3 linked regions of the Saccharomyces cerevisiae S288C genome follow. Changing the gene in region 2 together with the main gene of any one other region gives a genetic interaction. Each region holds a gene or a part of one and is shown on either strand. Other genes may lie near its edges.

Region 1 (2,819 bases), on a different chromosome or scaffold from region 2:
GCGATCAAAAAAAGGCCCATTTTTGTGTTCCGCGTAATTGGTTTGCGCCTTTCCATGGAGCTTGGTGGGCGACATTCTCAAACTGGTTTCCTGATACATCATGCACGCCCGTAAAGGGTTTAAGTATTGATTGCTAGCCTGAATGTTTCATATGCATACCGTGTCTATGCAACGAATATATTTCAGAAAAAAGCACGAAAGCCAAATTTTTGATGTTAAGAGGTGTTTTTGCCCGTAAACGGAGAAGACGTGGTAGGACTCGCAAATGTCGCGTTTAGCGTTGAAGAACATGGAAGTATTGAACGTTTGGGGCTTGACGGCTCGACTTTTTTGCACTACTCCGCCTTGAACAGACGGATGATCCTGGCGCAAGAAACAAAGAGAATCAACTCTGAGCAAAGCGAAAAAATGAAATACAACGATAATAAAAGGATAGGAAGGTGTATATATAAGTTAATTTTAGATATAGATTAAGAAAAGATGGGCATATACTAATATGACTACAAAATTGCACATTTTTTACTTTTCTTGATAACAGGAGGCTCCAAGGCGGCCACGATAGCTTCATCGAATACATTCTTCAAACCGCGTTGTGTTAGTGCCGAACACTCGACATATTTTACTGCTTTCAGTTCTCTTGCTAACCTGGAACCTTGTTCTGATGTAATCGGACGTAATCTTTGTCTTTGCAACTTCTCGATGATTACCTTGTCATCCCTTAGATCAATCTGCGTACCGACGACCAGGCATGGTACACCTGGACAATGGTGATGTACTTCAGGGAACCATTTTTCTTTAACGTTTTCAAAAGAGGGTGGGGAAATAACACTGAAACAAACCAAAAATACATCAGTAGAAGGATATGACAAGGGTCTCAATCGATCGTAATCTTCTTGACCGGCCGTATCAAACAAACCTAACGTATATGGTTCATCACCAATCATCACAGTCACCGCATAGTTATCGAACACTGTTGGAACATAGTCGGCTGGAAATTGATTCGTTGTATAGGAGATTAGAAGGCACGTTTTCCCAACAGCACCATCACCGACAACAACACACTTTAGCGTTTGCATTTTGTGGAAGAGCTAATACGTTTATTTCTTGTTTTATAAGTTTTGCTTCTCTAATTCGTTTGTTAACCTATCTCCTCAGGAAAATAGAATAGTATAATAAATAACGAATATAATTTTTTGCGACAAAGGAAACCTATTGCAAAAAGTGAAGAATGACAGAGAAGGATAATCAGTATATCTCGGTACACCTGGAACCTATTTATCAAAACGCTGCTCTTGCCTTTTCCAAGAATCGCGTCTATCATCGATCAATCAACCTTGTTTGCTTTTTTTTATCACTTTTTCCCGTATCTTGTTTCATTTGGAAGGGCCCAATGGAAGCAGTATTACCCGTATTGAATGACCCTTGAATCGACGGTGGAAGACATCTTTAATGCGATGTTTAGAAGACAATGTGCCGTATTTACCTGTATATGTGGATTATCTAACAGTCTACAATACAAAATTAGGTGTAACGTAGCTACAACAGTTGATAGAAATAATGCAACTTTTTTTAAAAAAAAAAGAGAAAGTGCTCGAGGTGGGGATTGAACCCACGACGGTCGCGTTGCTTTTAAAGGCCTGTTTGAAAGGTCTTTGGCACAGAAACTTCGGAAACCGAATGTTGCTATAAGCACGAAGCTCTAACCACTGAGCTACACGAGCATTTTCGAAAGAGACGTAAATTAAATTGTTATTTATACCGTAGATGATTGTTTTTCACGAAATTACCCTTTTGAGTTCCGGCTTGTTTCGTTCAACAGTACTACCACTGATAAGTTAGCTTCATTATTGGAAGAAGGTTGATAAATGAAAGAAGATTCACGACTATGCACGGCAACTGGTAAGTAATACACGGGCCCAGATATTTATTTTAATTCTTGGAAAGAAAGTATAAATTTATAGGTTCGCTATCAGTAAGTATACGAATTTCAAACTACGTCATATATAATATCCAAAAGAAGATGAAGGCGATGCGGTCACTCTAGGACTACAACTTATCCATCGCCTCATTTAGTGCATTCACCGCAATGTATACATCTGAAAATGTATTATATAAGGGAGCAGGAGCCAATCTAATTACGTTTGGTCTTCTTGCATCGCCAATGACACCATGGTCATGCAAATATTGGAAAACTTTGGGCATAATATCCTCTTTTCCAGTGTCAGAATCGAAGTAAAGTGACAATTGGGCGCCATGTTCTTCATCTGTGCTTGTTGGAGTTAATATTGTAAAAAAACATGGTAATTTCTCGATCCTTAAAGGGTGTTTGTAATACTTGGAGGCTTCCAACAGTTCCGTCATATAGTTCGTCAGCAACAACGATCTTTTACGAACTTCATTAATACCATTAAACTTCGCAAATAATTCCAATGAACTTCTCAATGCCACTGTGTCAATAACGCTTGGATTAGATTGCCTGAATCCCAATGCTCCTGGAATCGGCTCGAATACTTCCAGCATTTGAAATCGCTTAGCAGGATCATTGCCCCACCAACCAGCTAATCTTGGCAAACTTTCCTTAGCAGGGTCTGGTTTAGTATGCTTCGAGTGGACAAATAAGCCACCAATTCCACCAGGCCCGGCATTCAAGTACTTGTAAGAACACCAACAGGCAAAGTCAACACCCCAATCATGAAGTTGCAATGGGACGTTCCCTACAGCGTGTGCTAAATCCCATCCAACCAATATGTCGGGGAATTGGTGGGCAAATGAGGTGATTCGGCCAATATCGAAATATTGCCCCGTGTAATACTGAACAC
Region 2 (5,171 bases):
GATGCAGTACCTGCATTACCTAGATATAAGGGGTCAGCACAAGCTGACAATGTGGAACCACCATGTCCTTCCACCACTACCGTCTCACCATTATCTTCCCATGATATCGTAGCACCTTTCAATTCATGAACAGCGGTTAACATATGTTTAGTATCATCAGAATGTAATAAGTTCTTGATTTTACATTGACCTTCACCGAGGGCAGCAAGAATTAAAGCACGATTGGAGATGGACTTAGAACCAGGGGGGATAACAACTTTCTGTTGATCAGCAGGGATGTCCTTGAAGGGGTAAACGAGGGTTTCATCTGTTAGAATAAATCTCAGGTCTTCATCGCTAACAAATTGAGCGGAGTCACCATAGCACTTACCAATACTTTCTAAAATGACCACCTTCTTTTTGGAACCCTCGTTTTTCTTGTCAATACTCATTTTCTTCAATAAGATATCCAATGGTGTTTTCTTATGTAAGGTTAGCTCTTTAAACCATTTCTCATCAGGCGAAACAGGCAACCCGTAGGCAACCAAAATCTTGGATAGACGTGCAACTTGGGTAGGGGAGAGAATACCGAAATAACGGGATAATTCCGCCTCTTTAACCATACCAATGGACACACATTCACCATGTAATGCTTGTGGGGTTAGTATAGCTTCATAAGCATGACCAATAGAATGTCCGAAGTTCAAAAGGTTTCTTAGACTGGATTCACGTTCATCCGAAGAGACAACTTCCGCTTTGACCTTAATACTCTCAAGAACTAACTTATATGTATGATCCAACATAGCTTCAATATCTGTATTCGATATCTCGTCAATCTCGTTTGTCAATTGATTGGTAACCTTGACATTTTTTGCCCCATTAACAACATTTAAGAACAACGAAGCGTTTGATTCTAATCTAGTAAATTCGTCAGCGTTCCAAATACAAGCAGTCTTGATAACTTCTGCCATCCCATTGATAAACTCTCTCTTGGCTAACGTTTCTAGCCATTTAATATCTACAAGGACAAATTTTGGTTGCCAAAATGCACCAATAAAGTTTTTACCTAGAGGAGTGTCAATAGCAGTTTTACCACCAATGGAGGAATCGACCATTGCCAATAAGGATGTTGGTACTTGGACAACACGAACACCTCTCATAAATGTAGATGCAACGAACCCAATCATGTCACCAATAACACCACCACCGATCGCTACCATAACCGTATCACGAGTACATCCTTCCACTAAAAGATAATCTTCTAGCTGCGCTTTGGTTTCTCTACTTTTACTTGTCTCACCTGGTTTAACAACATAAGTAAGTAAACGAGAGCCTTCTGGCAAAGAAGCCTTGAATTCCAGGACTAATTGCTGGTAGTATGGAACTTTACTCAAGTTCGTATCATTGCAAATAACGTATGTCGAAGAAGGACAATGTTTAATTATGGTTTCAACCAAATGGTCATGAATGTTATACCCAACGTGGATAATATCATTTCCTAGAATTGGGACTTTGGCTAACTGCACCATCGTAATATACAATTATCTTACGTAGGGATTTCTCAACTAGGAGATTATATAAACTTGAACGACCGAGTATAGCTGTGATCTGTTACTAATGGTTACGAGTCGGCGTCCTACCTTCTATATTAATAAACCGCTTGTATAATGAATTTGTTCGACATTTGCGGTTAGAATCTATGGCGGTGAGAAAAAACCGAGTGAAAAAAAATTTCATGTTCGGGATGAGTCATATGCATGACAATTTACTATATTAAATCTGTGAGATTGGCCAGGAAGGTACCTTTGTCATATATATTGGGAATTTCGGACGCGTCTTTAATCGTGATGTAGTGTGTAAGGTTGTAGTGCTTATGGTCGTAGGCATTCGTGCTATAAAACGTAACATGTTGATCTTGGAGTGGTTCAGCAGCGTCATCTTTTTGTTCTGTGCATTTGAAAAACCAAGATGGGCAATCATCATCCAATGATCTCACCAGTTTTCCTTCTCTCATATACTCTTGAATGGTATACCATTTATCTTGCTCATTTGTAGTCATTCCCTCCTTTACAATGGCCAATTGAAGATACGTGAAAATAGCGCAGATGATAGTGAAGCATCCACATAATATGGTAAGAGTCAGAACAGCTCTAGGGAGCGTACTTGTGCTATTTAAAGAAATGTACCACAGCCTTAGAAAGGCGTAGCACATCGAGAATATGTTGGAAATTAGGAAAAGGTAGAATTGAAGGTAGTTTCCCTTTCCGATGCAGTTATTTATCCAGATGCAATGATGGTCGGCGACGAGAACGCATCGGTTGCAAATGCTACAATGTTTGGATCTAGCAGGCTTGACGATCCGGCATGTCGAACACTTTATGGCAGGATAATACAATAGGTAATCATATGGATATTCCTCTGTCGAGCCTGATTTATGATCCTTTGAATCCTCAGCTCTGCTTACCATGGCTAGAATTCCTAATGCTACCGGCGGTAGTATAATTATAGGCACGATCAGTATTCGTTCTAAAAGGAATAGCTCATTCTTAATCGTAGACTCCACTCTCATGTGGTATGTATATACTAGGTACAGGTAAATAGAGGTGTAGAAAAGAGGTACTAAATGCAACTTCCAACGATATTTTTGGTCATCCACTAGGAAGGGCTGAAACACATTACGATAGAAAGTCGAAAATGGCCATGTTGACTTGAAGACGGGCGAAAGTAATATCAAAACTACGAATCCTATTAGCAGCACAAATAGTAGATTCCATGACATTGTTTGTTCTTTTCATGTTAGGAGACAAAGATATCTTCTTTGGAGGCATAATGAAGTTTTTTTTAGGAAGGCGGAAGTATATATACAATGACACTACCTTTGTTGATAGCTACGAATTTCCTAAAGAGAAAGTATATTGTAGTATTTATATGAGTTGCATAGTACGTTATTCAAGGATAAAATGCCGAATAAATGCTTTAGATGATTTAAAATTCTGTATCGGATGGTTTTAATTAAAAAGTTTCGTTGGAGGTTTTCACCTCATTTTTGAAAAATAAAAATTCAGACCAAAACATTAATTATTTTGGCTTTGAATATACTGACCTCCTGGAAAGCCCTTGGACATTACTAAAATTGAGACAACTGTTTCGATTCCAGCTTAGAACTCCACAGAGCTTCACATGTTTTACACCTCTATTTATATATTCTGACAGTTTCCTTATGCCTTTCCAGTTTAAGGATGAGCGAATGAAAAATGCTTTTAATAAAGAGGTACTTGATGGACCCTGAAAGTTTAAGGAGGCAGATAATGAATGTATATAAATGTTACATGTGGAAGAGAGCGTTCCACAGTAATAGAAGCCTACTGGAAGTTAAACGTCGTGAAAAGAGTCTCCAGAGAAAAATTTTGGAAAGGATTCTTAGACCCAAGGAGGAAAATGCTGTCAAAAAATCTGGATTCAAGCTATGGTCAAGCCATTTGAATAACCCACACAAAACTTATATGCGGCTGGAGGAATTACAGAGACGTATTATGGAAGAGGTACACGTTGAAGGTATTAAAAAGAATGATAAGTTATTCAACGAAATAAATCAATGGCATTTCCAAAATGAAAACACAAGTACTGTTCGAACACCAACATTGCTGATACATGGCTATGCCGCATCTTCAATGTCTTTTTTCAGAAATTATCCAGGTCTGTCCAAGCACATCCGAAATTTATACTCAATTGACATGCCAGCGAGCGGATTGTCTTCAGTACCGTCTTTAGAGATCAATACAACAACACCTCTGCCGTTAGATATCAAATTTATTGGAGAAAATAAATTTAAGGTTCCATATACAATAAATGCAAATCACAATAAATTTGTGATTCAAATGTACGAAGATTTCTATCTCGACAGAATCGAGCAATGGCGCATTGATAACAAATTGGGCAAAATGAATGTTGTGGGGCATTCTTTTGGCGGATATTTATCTTTTAAATATGCTGTTAAATATCCAAACTCGGTAAACAAACTTTGCTTGGTATCCCCACTAGGAGTGGAAAGGAATATCTGGTCTGTAAATAATAATTTCCACTCCAACACTCTTTATACTATCGATTTTAAAAATCCAAATTCCAAGTTTTACTCCAAAAGAAATATGATTCCAAAATACTTATTTGAACAACAATTTCACATTTTGAGAATGATGGGACCATTAGGAGCTAAGTTATGTTGGAATTACATAATGGCGGCATATAGCCGAGTCCCATCGTTGGCATACAAAGAGTACATATTTGAACTGTTTTACGGTAAGGGAGGTATACCGGAGGTTACGACAGATATTTTCAAAGCGTTATTTTCAAGATGTATCCTAGCAAAGGACCCCTTGATGGATTCTCTGCAATATTTAAATGTTAAGAAATTATTGATAGTATATGGGCAATATGATTGGATGAATAAAAAAGCCGGTATGTTCATGGTCAAAGAGTTGAACAATTTAAAGAACTGTCTAGAAGGAGCAAGTTATTTAGAAATACCTTCTTCCGGTCACAATCTTTTTTTAGATAACCCAGAATCATTCAACCAATCTATAGTGTCCTTCTTATCAGACGAAACTAAATCGCCTTGATAGCAACCAAATCAAGTAGCAAAGAGCCAAAAAATGTGTTAATGTATGCTATCCCCCTTTTTGCTTTTGCGCTCCTCACACCTCTTTTCTTTGCTTTGAAATTTTTCTCAAATAAAATCTTTACAATCATCGCTACTAGTTAATTCATCCAATTTAGTGAGGAATAACGGATCAAATTCCACTAAATTTTCTAATCGAGATATGCTATTCGAATAATCCTCCGATACAGGGTCTTTCGGATATTCCCTGGGGAAATACTCTGTGTCACTTTCTTTTGAAGGAAGGATCATCGAGGGTGAAGAATCGCTTCCACTTGACTGTTGTAACAAATCTTTTTCTACCTTAACCATTTTATTTACATCAAATCGACGACTATGGTATGATTTTTTCTGTTTTTGGGCTAGGTCATTTAAATCATCAAGTGATATGGTCTTCTGCTTGAAATCTTTGTTGCACAAGCATTTCGCAATTTCGAAAACATTTTTCATGATTACTTTCTTCACAGTTTCTTTCTTAAAAATGGTCATTGCGGCGGTCACTCCTGTAAGCTCGTCCAAAATCTCAAGGCTGAAGGGA
Region 3 (3,034 bases), on a different chromosome or scaffold from region 2:
GGGTATTTACATTGCTGATATAGAACTCAACTACCCAGTAAGATCTTTCTATGGAACAAAATCTTTTGTATTAACCACAAACAGTATTATCGGTGCTGGAAACGAGGCATTAGGGATTGTTTATTTGATTGTTGCCGGGATTGCAACTCTTTTCGCCATACTATTCCTGATAAAAGTCATCTTCAAACCAAGACCTATGCATGATCATAGCTACCTAAATTTTGAGAACAGCGATACCCCATTCGATGAGAGTAGTGTCGTTAGTATTCCATTGAGAGAAATTTTATGATTGATTATCATTTACTATAAAATCCCTGCGTTTGATTCGGTCTCTAGGGAAGCGTTGTAATTTCATGTATATTCAAAATAAGGACGAGGTTATATACCATACTATATTATCTCCTTGCATTCTGTATCAAACACTTTATTCAGTACATATACGATACCTATATATTCATTAAATGTTCTTTTCGCTTTATTTCAGCAAGGTATAGTGCTATTTAAAATCCATAATCGTTATTGCGTCTCTTTAGTCTGTCCTTCATTGCCATTACTCCACTACTTGCGTCTGGTGGCGGCGTTGGCGTGCTGGAGGTGTTGAAACTGTTCGACGTTTTACTTCGACCGAGACTTGCCCTGAATTCTTGGCCTGCTGAAGGTCTAGTCGGCCGTGATGAAGCTCTTCTCGGTGTCGCGCTAGAGGAGCTTGTATGATTATTGTATATATCTTGAAACGATTTACTCGCAGGCGTGTACTCCGGTGTGTTCCCGTTTGAAGAAGGTGTACCCATAGGATCTTCTGAAGAAGCCTTCCTTCTGTTAGAAAAGGATGGCGAGAAATGACGCGAGTTTTGCTTCTTCATATCATGCTTCACTTGAGTATCTAATATTTTACGTTCGTTCGGTAAATCTTCCTTCTCCCCCAACCATCCTGGGAACCCCTGGAAAGGATGCTGATTTTCATAGAATTTCACAAGCCCTTTATGGACCAATGTAGTATTTACAGTATCACCATCTTTTTCTGCTTTAATGGATAAATGTGCCAACGATGTAGATAACGATTTGGTTGACGACTTAAACTTGTTCCAAAATCGCCCGGATCCTTCTTGGGAATGCGATACTTGACTCATCATATGCGTGAAATCTTAGTTATACTGGTAGTTGGTATTAGGGCCTAGCGTCTAATAGTTAGTTGGCGTTTTATTTTTTTGCACCTTTCCTAATAGTATTAATCTCTAAAAGTGAAAAACTCCTAAGAGTCTTTACGAGCTCATTTAATACGTTCTGATCAGAAGCAAGACTATAAAATGCAATAGCCAATACTTTTTAGACTAAAGGTAGACGACTTACTAGCGGTTCAAGCTTCAGGAACTACACTCTCAATTACGTTCTAGTCCATTTTGTCCCTCTTTCCGGTTTTTTTTTTTTTACGTTTCCTTATGAAAGTATAAGTAATACTAAAGAAAGATTTATAAAGTGCCGTTACTGTTACGTATGATAAACCTTTTGATACATTTCTTCTTATTTAAGCCACTGTCTTTTCCTTTAGATAGATGCCGTACTTGTCCTTTAGTTCTTTCATGATTGGATCATTAATCTCTGGTGAGTATGGCGCTAGTAAGCCTGGTCCCTTGATTGTACCATCTAAGACGAATTTCGTTGCAATGGCAACTGGATAACCAACAGTAGCGGCCATAGAACTGTAACCACCAACCTTACCATAGTCAACTAAAGTGGATGTTCTTGTTTCGGTAGTTCCATCAGCCCATTCAATACCGAATTTGTGTTGTAGTACAACCATATCTCTTTCATTGTCTTCATATTGCATTAGTTCTTCTAAACGTGCACATAGAGTGTCTAAAGCATTACCTCTTGGTGTGATCTTTGCGTCAGAGAACAAGCCTAACCAAGCAAACCCGGAAAGGATTCTTTCTCTATCTTCATCATCTTTCCAAGTAGCCTTTGAGTCAATGGAAGCAATCAAATCTTCTTTAGAAGTAGACTTGGCACCTAAATATTGTTTTAGTGCTTCGTTCCAGGCAATTGGCTTGCTGAAGATTTCGTTAGCATCATCCTTCAACATACCCATGTCAACTAAAGCCTTAACAAATTCTGGGAAACCTTGATATCTCAAAGTACCTCTAATGACCGTTTCGGCTTCTGGAATATGATAAAGATCCTTGAAAAGGGTAGAGTCTCTATTTGGGTAGCAAACGAATGCATAACCTGGGTAGATGAAGTAAGGCTTAGCAGTGGCCATTAAGTCTTCGGAAGAAACAGTTTCAATCTTTCCGTCTTTCCAGTATTTAGCAGAGTTTCTTAAAGCCAGTAGCACACCTCTGGAGGACCATGAAAATTTGTATCCTAATGGATTATCAGAGTCTTCAGGAGCTGGTAAACCACCACAGTATGACAAGAATGACTTTAGCTTACCACCAGCTCTGTGAACTTCATCAATAGTCTTGACCGCATACAAGTGGTCGATACCTGGATCCAACCCAATTTCGTTCATAACTGTAATACCTGCCTTTACGATTTCTGGTTCCAATTCTCTTAAGGCAGGTGAGATGTAAGAGGAAGTGACGACATCGGTCTTTGTTCTGATGGCGCTCTTTACCACATTTGGATGGAAGGTGTATGGAATCAAAGAGATGACAACATCGTTATCAGCCAGAACTTTGTCTAAGGCACTGTCATCGGTAACATCCAATGAAATAGCCTTGGATCCAGAGGGCTTGGCCAATGCTTGCGCATTGGCTAATGTTCTACATGCGACAGTGACATTGATGTCATCATTAGCAGCCAATGTGTCGATAACAGGTTGTGCAACAAAACCAGATCCTAGCAACAAAACGTTCTTTCCCATATTAAAATATATAATACGTTAATATAACTCAATTGTCCTGATAAGTTTTCCCTACTGCCTAAGGATCCTTCCCATGTAATTTTACCAGGACCCTACGGTTTATATACCATTAAGCCAAATTCTGTGCTACTTTCTATCATCTATTGCTGATAATTCCATTGGAAATTC

The links.
Region 1: mutations in SWF1 (region 2) and CDC42 are lethal when combined (synthetic lethality), as found in Saccharomyces cerevisiae (5 studies listed by BioGRID, with this or other methods).
Region 3: mutations in SWF1 (region 2) and MSO1 together harm fitness more than expected from each alone (negative genetic interaction), as found in Saccharomyces cerevisiae (4 studies listed by BioGRID, with this or other methods).

What each region holds. Positions count from the first base shown.
Region 1 is NC_001144.5:603,712-606,530, forward strand, and holds CDC42 (Rho family GTPase CDC42), read right to left. Parts: upstream 1,077-2,819; coding exon 501-1,076; downstream 1-500. Other genes in the region: BNA5 (kynureninase), read right to left, coding at 2,047-2,819. UniProt on the Saccharomyces cerevisiae protein: Involved in development of cell polarity during the cell division cycle, and essential for bud emergence. Affects signaling in the pheromone-response pathway through the STE20 protein kinase.
Region 2 is NC_001136.10:700,821-705,991, reverse strand, and holds SWF1 (palmitoyltransferase SWF1), read right to left. Parts: upstream 2,759-5,171; coding exon 1,748-2,758; downstream 1-1,747. Other genes in the region: ARO1 (pentafunctional protein ARO1p), read right to left, coding at 1-1,508; ECM18 (alpha/beta hydrolase family protein), read left to right, coding at 3,234-4,595; YDR124W (uncharacterized protein), read right to left, coding at 4,703-5,171. UniProt on the Saccharomyces cerevisiae protein: Palmitoyltransferase that targets several endosomal SNAREs. Palmitoylates the SNAREs SNC1, SNC2, SYN8 and TLG1, at cysteine residues close to the cytoplasmic end of their transmembrane domain.
Region 3 is NC_001146.8:712,523-715,556, forward strand, and holds MSO1 (Mso1p), read right to left. Parts: upstream 1,134-3,034; coding exon 501-1,133; downstream 1-500. Other genes in the region: YNR048W (putative aminophospholipid translocase regulatory protein), read left to right, coding at 1-289; LYS9 (saccharopine dehydrogenase (NADP+, L-glutamate-forming)), read right to left, coding at 1,526-2,866. UniProt on the Saccharomyces cerevisiae protein: Involved in secretion. Component of the secretory vesicle docking complex.